2 linked regions of the Drosophila melanogaster genome follow. The protein of the gene in region 2 interacts with the protein of the main gene of each other region in a pairwise test. Each region holds a gene or a part of one and is shown on either strand. Other genes may lie near its edges.

Region 1 (4,648 bases), on a different chromosome or scaffold from region 2:
TTATCTTTAGCACCCCCACCCAAAAAATCCCAAAACGATTCATGTTTTAATATGTACGTTAGTCTTAAGAGATGCCAGCATTAAATAAACCTAACTCGTAAGCCACCAAAGCAGACACGGATCCCCACTAACTTATTCTACACAGATACACAAACGCAAGGATACGAAGCGACTATGAAAGGCACGTGTGTCCCGTACAACCTGGAAATGCGCTGCGATCAACCCTCGTCCCGTGCACGCCATGTACGCCATGTGCATCTGTTCCTGTCGTCGTTATTAATGCTGTTATTTGTTAAGTCGTTCATGGACTCCCCTCCTTGCGCTCACATTCCCGCCCCTCGAAGGACGCTCACCATCAACTTCCCAGTTCCTGATCATACCGCCCCGCCCCGCCCTGCCTCAGTTCACCTCGTTTATCCATGGATGGTTGATAACGTTGCATTGTTGAAGTAACTAGTTATGTATGTACTCAGTGTTATGTATGTATCGTTTTGCGAGAGAATACCAATAAACATTTTTACGTCCGTTCAAAAATACTTCAATCTTTTTACCATCATTACATTCGGAAAACGGTGGGCGAAGTGAAAAAATTCTTACTTTTAATAGGGTAAGTGCAATAAATTCGTATTTTTATTTTTCTTTCTAGAAAACTCTTTTAAAAACCTGATGGAAGTTTCAAAATCGGGTGAGTATTAACTCAGATATAACTAGTTGAATGCAATTGTAGTATCATTAGTGTTTATGTTTACTTTAAATAAGTATTTTAAATTAGCTGTCTTTATCCAGCATGTTGGAAATGATCCTAGTTCCTAGGGGATTAAATAATTTAGGGCATTATTTTCAATTTCCTAGAATCTGGAATGTATGTATTTGTTGCAGTTCAATCTTTAATTGTTAGAAACAGAGCATAAACTCCTAGATGTCAAAGGTTAAGGGAAAACGTTTAGCACATCTAGACTTCTTTGCCGTGAGTATACCCATTACCCCACCCATTCTAATTCCTTTGTTTCGAATCCTCTCAGCTGAATCTGTGCTCCTTTCTCCGCGCTCATCATAGAACAGCTGATGGCTGATGACCTAAGGACATCAAACCCTGGCTGGAATCGGTTCGATTTGCTACAGGTAAAAACCACCGATACCGTCCGTCCAAATCATTCATAATCCATGAGTGTAAGTGTCTGTCTGTATACTCGTAGTCTGTATACCCCGGGCATGATTCTCTCGAGTTTCCTGCGGTTCCTTGCTTTTGGCGCGCTCGTCCGTCATTTTAGCGCCAAAAATTTGTTAAGGATTTGCGCGGCAGGCTGCGCATGCGCCGCAAGACATCAAGACGTCGTCCCTTGGTTGGGTTCCTTTCCTTTCCTTCGGCCCTCTCTTTTCCGCTGCACAGCGAAACCCAGCCGATTTATGTCGCTGCAGTTGGGTCCAGCGAAGGGCACCAGGAGTACCAATACCAGTAACAGCGTCTCTCTCTGACGCTGATTTTCTACCACCACCTTTGGCTCGCCCAGAGTCCTGCCTTTGTGCGTTCCCTTTTTTTCGGCTGCCTGCCAGCCAGGTAGCTCCTGTCGTCTTCGATTGTGTCCACGCCGGATAAAAGAAGCGGCATTGCCATAAGAATAAGGAAAAGAATAAGGATGGGATGTGAATGTCTTGGGTTAGCTGTCTGTATGGGAGCAGAATGCCGAGTGCATGTGCTTTATTTTTTCCGGTTCAAGGTGCAACTGGTAACTGGCCAGCATTGCTAATTATCTTGGTTGGGTGTGCAGAAATCAAGTTTATTTCGCAGGGACACACAGGATGATAGGCAAAGACAGCTGCCTCTGGCCAAGGAGGCAGCAGCGAAGTTATGACTACGACTCGGATTACTTCACGCCCCACCAACACCATTACCACTACCACCACCACCGAGGTCCACCCATGATGTCGGCCAGCTTCAGTAGGCCGGCGAGTTGAAGGCACCGTTGTATCCGCCCCCATATCCACTGCCATAGCCAAAGGCATTGTGATTGTTCAGCACTCCAAATGGTCCCTTGTGGACGCCATCCTCCTTGTACTCGGTGTTCATCGAGAAATGATGGTCCCAATGGCTCGGATCAGCGGGATTGTGAGCCGGATAGCGATGATAGTTCATGCCGCTGGTGGCAGGAGCCTGACCAGCTGCTCCGGGCACTCCTGCCACTCCAGGTGCTCCCGGAACTCCAGCTACTCCAGGAACTCCTGGTTGAGCCACAGCTCCGGGTAGCACTCCATAGGCGGGGAACTGGGCTGGTTGAGGGTACGCTGGGTACTGTGGCAAGTATACTCCGGGGTAGGGATAGCCAGGATAGGCACCAGTTCCCGGGAAGTAACCAGGTGCTCCTGCACCCACTGGCTGCTGGGGAGGAACTCCCACCGGATACTGAGCAGGAACTGCTCCAGCAACAGGATAGCCAGGAGGAGAAACAGCACCTAAAAAGGGGACATTTCATTAATATCATAATTTCATATATATTTCAAAATGTGGATTTGCTATTCACCAATCTTTTAAATTTTGTATAACTTTTTTGGGAGTTAAGACTTGATATTAGTTTTCTGATTTCACTAAGATAAATGAACCACCTATTAGAAGGACCTACCTGCACTTTGGTAACCACCGGATGATGAGGATCCTCCTGAAGAGCCTCCTGCAGCTGGGTACGGAACTGGAGCCTGTTGTCCAGGAAAACCCGGAGGCGGATAAGCGGGAATCTGGTGACCTCCTGTAATTGTGAGTGCCGGATTTGGTGACTGGTTGCCAGGAAAAACAACGGAGTTCGTACTGGCCACTCGTACGCCAGAGCCACCCTGCTCATGGCCATGGGCATCGTCGATGGATCCAGTTGCGCCCGCATAACCCGATCCCAGCTGACCAAGGCCAGGATAAAGTTGCGAATTGAGATTGGCCCGCTGGCGATGGCGACTGCTGGTAATGCCTCCCGTCAGAGTGGAGGCCAGGTTAAACTCCGTCTTCTGATCCTCCTGACTTTCGTCCCTGCTGAATTGCGAGGCCTGACCGCTGGCTATCTGGATGAGGGCCAGAGCGGCGAATGCGATGACCCTCCTGCTTAACATGGCGTCTTTGGGTACACTAAAGCCCAGAAGCTCACGGCGCGTGTATTTCATGGTGAGATCTGATGACACGAGAGCTTAGCTGAGTGTCTATTTTTGGGGTTATCATCAGGGGCTCAATGCCCAGATATGTAGTTTAAGTCTCATTGAGTGTTCTTTCTAGTAAATTGAATGAGAGAGTCTACACTGAAAGCAAAAGTTGAAAATATAACACAACAATGTGCATATGCATAGATACTAGCCATAAATTTGAACAAATAAATGAATTTTTTAAAGAAATACCCATATACAAATTTATAAATATAAATGTTATATATAAATTTCTTGCAATGTATAAATTTGCGGCCTAAAGCCAAGTAATAGATAAGTTGAGACGCATTTTTGGTTTAGGGATTTCCCAAGCAATTCATAACTCATCTTTGCATAGATGATGATCATGAGTTATGATCCTCCCTTTATATAGAGAACGAAAGCTTTCCCAGTCAACCTTGTTTACCAGTCAATAGATTAGTATTATAAGTACATATGTACATATAGCATTTGTTCCATTACCCAAGGTTCTTCCACTCGATTCCATTCATCTTTCTTATCGCCATGTGCTGCTGCTGGCTATAAAAGCCGCATGGACATTGGGACTATCAGCAAAATTGCTCTACATATCCCAAGATGCAGTTGTTGGCTGCGATTCTAGTGCTAATCCTGGCCAGCTTGGCCCACGGTAGACCCACTTTCGATAAGATTGCGGAGCTTCTGTTCGGCGACCCAAATCATTATCCGCCAGCAAGGCCAGTTGATCCACAGCTACATCCTGGACCAGGTCCACTCATCCAGGAGGGCTACGAGCAGGGCTACGACTATCACTATGGTGGAGGCTACGGCTACGGTGGTAGCCACCAGCAGACGCATCCAGGTGGCTATGCCTATTACCCACCACGACCGGTTCCGGCAGCAAATGACTACTATCCACCACCTTGGTCAGTGCGTCCTTCGCCTGGATACTACTCTCAGCCGTCTCATCCTGCCAGTGTCCATTATCCGCACAAGAATCAGGATCTTTACGGAGGTGGAGGTGGTTACAAGCAGCGGGGTTACTAACGTTCATCCGTCAGATACCCCAGTCTCATCCAATCATGTGCTGTCTCATTTGTTTATGTGTAATTTATTAAAATTTCGTTTATTTCCAACGAGCTTTTAGAACCTGTTTTGAACTTATGACAAAGACGATCTCGGGTGGAGCAATTGAACAATGGTCTACGAATATATATACAACAAGTGTGAATCGGGGAACTCCCTCTTAGAAGATTCATCTTCGTCTCACATCAATGGGAATTGAGGGAACCTCCGGGTTTGGCACATGGATATATTTGCTAGAGCTGGGGAATATAATAGCACGATTTTCGGAGAGTTCGTCCAATGGTTTTGGCAATGGCTCCGGCACGATCCAAGTGGGAAAAGTGGGCGTGGGTGGATCCGGATTATGGGGCGGCACCAACGGCGGTCGATTGGTTCCTATTATGAGCGTATCCTTCGTTGGCTGAGCGGTTGGACGTGGCTGGAT
Region 2 (3,654 bases):
GCGCCTTCACCGCCTGCAACAGCGACAACGATACCACCAACTTCTTCAAGTGCTACGCCAATGCGGTGAGTTGAAGCTAAAGGATCTTCCGAATGATAGTTGTTAACATAGACTAGGGTTCAAGTAGTACTCATATGCCCCAACAAGTATAGGTAATTCGCATATGGTGAAAGGCCGGAGACTAGGTCAATTTTTTTAGACCTAATCTTAATGTGTTACAAAAAATGTATCGTTTTATTTCCTTAGGCCGAGAGTGATGTATCTGTGATCTATGGCATCGCCACCAATGCCGCCAGTTCGGCCAACTCCCTGAGCACAGGCATCCAGGCCATCCAGGACACCGAGTACCAGTGCACCAACACCACGGAGAGCAACTACGTCCGGGATACCGCTGCCACCTACGATCTGTTGGACAGCTGCCTGAAGTACGGAGTGCCCACCACCTCCACCGCCGCCCCCTCCTCCACCAGCCCCGTTGATAGCTCGAGCGGGGCTCCTGTCACTGATGGCACCACTGTTGTGGCATCGTCCACCGCCGCTGCTGACACCACTGTGGCTGTGACCACCGCTGCACCCGGAACCGCTGCTCCGGCGACCACCGCCACTTCCGGCACTTCGGCCTCTTCTTAAGTCACAACTTTAAGTAATCACAAGCAATAAATGAACATTTGAAAAAACGTTATGAAAGGTGTCCTTTAAACATTATTTAGGAACAGAAAAATTTATTTTATATGTCGAAATCATTATGTAAATTTAAAGGAACTCAATTAAACTTATTTGTTTAAATTTTTATTTTTCATTAAGTTATTATTAACACTTACATATTATTACTACCGTCACTCTCTCTCTCTTGAGATAGTTGGTAGCACATTAAGTACCTATAAAAAGTCAAATGAACTAGAAATCTTTTAAATAGTTGATTTACGAGCAAACAAGTTTTTACATATGGCATGTAAGAGTCATCATAATATATTTTACATATTTTAGCCGGATAAGAGTTTCATTTCATTTATTAAAAATATAGGATTTGATTACAACTGCTAACTTTATATTTTTTTTTTTTTTTTTTTTTTTTTTTTCATTATTACGATGATGTTTTTATTATTTGATCAACGCACTGTTACCCATGCGGCAACTTAATTTGATCTGCTTAAATTATTTTATTTTACAATGTGTCTTGGTTACTTAAGACTAACAGATTTTTAATCCTAAAAATGATAGGGAGAATTATAATAGTTGATATAACATAGTAATTATTATTTATTTGATTATTCTAATGAATTTTAAAACTAAGACTTTCTAGGTCAAAACCAGGTTAGGGAGGTCATGAGGGTGGTGGCTAACTTTATATAGATTGCCTGAGACAAATGTTGCATACTTTTTGCCGAAAAACAAATGTTATTCAAAACAAGTAAGGAAGTCAGGTTCGGCAAAACCGATGCTTGTATACCCTTGCTGTAAATATATATTTAAAATACTGAAGCATTTTTTTCTATTATTTTCAATTAATTGTACGACATCATTATATGATATAGTCGTATGGTTTTGCTCAAAGATCTGGTTATATCGAATTAAAAGGCTTTAAGATCGAAAAAAAAAAAAAAATAAAGCTGGGATTTCTTTTCAATTACATAAAGTTTATATGTTCATTCAATATTTGAATATGACACATTGATAGGAATAGTTTTCGCTAAGTTTTTGGGCTTTGTGGCCCAATAGTTACAGCAATCAATTCCATGGATTGTAAACTCTTAAGCTGTTGAGTTACCTTTGATAAGTTGAAAGACCAGGTGCTTGTGGACTACATTATATTGTTATCCGCACTTCGACTTGACTCATCGATTGGAGCCGTCTGGTCATACGGCCTAATGCTACCTAATTGATCGGAATTCACTTGCAACAAAGAAATCACACGAATTTCAAGTTGGTCAAACGGATCCATCATTTTACCGACCAGACGGGTATATAAAACATTTAGACCTGGTCTACAGTAGTCCCAGTAAAGGAATAACCGTCAACATGAATATTCTGTGCACCGTGCTTATCTTCGCCAGCGTTTTGGCGGCCAACGTAAACAAAACGGCACATCCGCTTATTTCTCGAGAGTAACCACTTCCGTTTCCAGGCCAAGCCCAATAACCAGATCCAGAGTGCCTTGGATCAGTATTTGGTGCATGCTCGCAGTCTGGATACATTTGTTTCCGAGGATATGACCACGCAGTGCTTCAACTTATACATGCCTATGCTGAATCAAGTGGCTGCCACTTTCTCGAGTTCCTATCAGGACTGCATCACCACCGCCAATGCCCAGATCGCCAATTTGACCGCCCAGGCGGAGCAGCAGCAGAAGACCTATCAGTCCGACGTTTCAACACTCTGCAGTGCCTTTACCGCCTGCGACAGCAACAATGATACCGCAAACTTCTTCAACTGCTACGCGAATGCTGTAAGAAAATGCACAATGAAATAGTGAAAGTATTGAAAAATTGAATTTTAAATATTCCTATAGGCTGATAATGACGTCTCTGTGATCTACAACCTGGCCAGCAACGCTGCCAGCTCGGCCACCTCCTTCAGCTCGGGCATCCAAGCCATCCAGGACACCGAGTACCAGTGCACCAACACAACGCAGAACAACTACGTCCGGGATACAGCTGCCACCTACGATCTGCTGGACAATTGCCTCAAGAATGGAGTGCCCACCACTACCGCCACATCCTCATCAGCCGCCCCTCAAACTACCTCTACCACAGACGGGGGTTTCCTATTTGGCCTTTGAGTAGTTAGCATTCGAAACTTTAACATATTCTAATCCATAAAAACTTGTATCGTTCAGTAATTTTTTAAACCAAACAAAAGAAAACAAATAATTCAATTATATTGCCAAATTCACAGTAGCTTGGTTTTATACTGCAGACATCGCCAATTGAAATCTTAACATAATCAATTTTGTTTCAGATGAAATTTTAAAAACGAAGTGATCAGTGAAATAAAGTCGCATTGGTTTCAGTCGTTTAGTTATTTTATAATGTGTACTATTGTACATGCCTAGTGACTAAGGGAAATCCTAAAAGGCTGTTGTATTTTTTATATTTTTTTGCCAACGGAGTACAGATGCTCTCACAAATATACTTTCGTGTAATATTCGGTTATTTCTGGCACAAGATTTCGGAACAGACTGATGAGTTGCCCACAAGCCGCAGGCAGCATCAATGGAAAGTTTTTACCTACACTCGGAGAATAGAATAGAATAGACTGACCGAACTTACACCTTTTCGATTGGCGAGCGGGCATAAATATTCAATCGGCGGAGGTGGCCTTATCGGCGATACATTCAATTATCTCTCCGGTTTGCGACTGTTGGCGCTTTAAAGTGTGCCCACACACAGTGGCTTGTGCTCAGTCGAATTTTGTTCTCGGACCATTAAACATTACCCATTCAGCCAGCATTCACCATTCCAACATTCGACATTCAACATGGAAGGCCAACGCGTGGCAGTCGTCGCATTTGCTGTTTTGCTCGCCGGATTGTGCGTGCTATCCGGTCTGAATGTAATGAAAATGAAATTGAAAATGGAAATGAAAATGAGACCGGGTTGGTGACAATCGAGTAACCGTAACCCCCTTTTCGTAATCTCCAACAGGCGGCACCCG

Evidence for each region.
Region 1: the proteins of CG5770 (region 2) and Elal interact in a two-hybrid assay, tested with the Drosophila melanogaster proteins (one large-scale study listed by BioGRID).

The regions. Positions count from the first base shown.
Region 1 is NT_033777.3:24,863,815-24,868,462, reverse strand, and holds Elal (Elastin-like), read right to left. Parts: upstream 3,114-4,648; 5' UTR 3,094-3,113; coding exon 2,619-3,093; intron 2,452-2,618; coding exon 1,937-2,451; 3' UTR 812-1,936; downstream 1-811. Other genes in the region: Srg1 (Sting-regulated gene 1), read left to right, coding at 3,757-4,185; CG7016 (uncharacterized protein), read right to left, coding at 4,394-4,648.
Region 2 is NT_033778.4:18,043,412-18,047,065, reverse strand, and holds CG5770 (uncharacterized protein), read left to right. Parts: upstream 1-1,992; 5' UTR 1,993-2,019; coding exon 2,020-2,070; intron 2,071-2,125; coding exon 2,126-2,446; intron 2,447-2,509; coding exon 2,510-2,779; 3' UTR 2,780-3,020; downstream 3,021-3,654. Other genes in the region: CG5767 (uncharacterized protein), read left to right, coding at 1-65, 247-630; CG5773 (uncharacterized protein), read left to right, coding at 3,478-3,552, 3,645-3,654.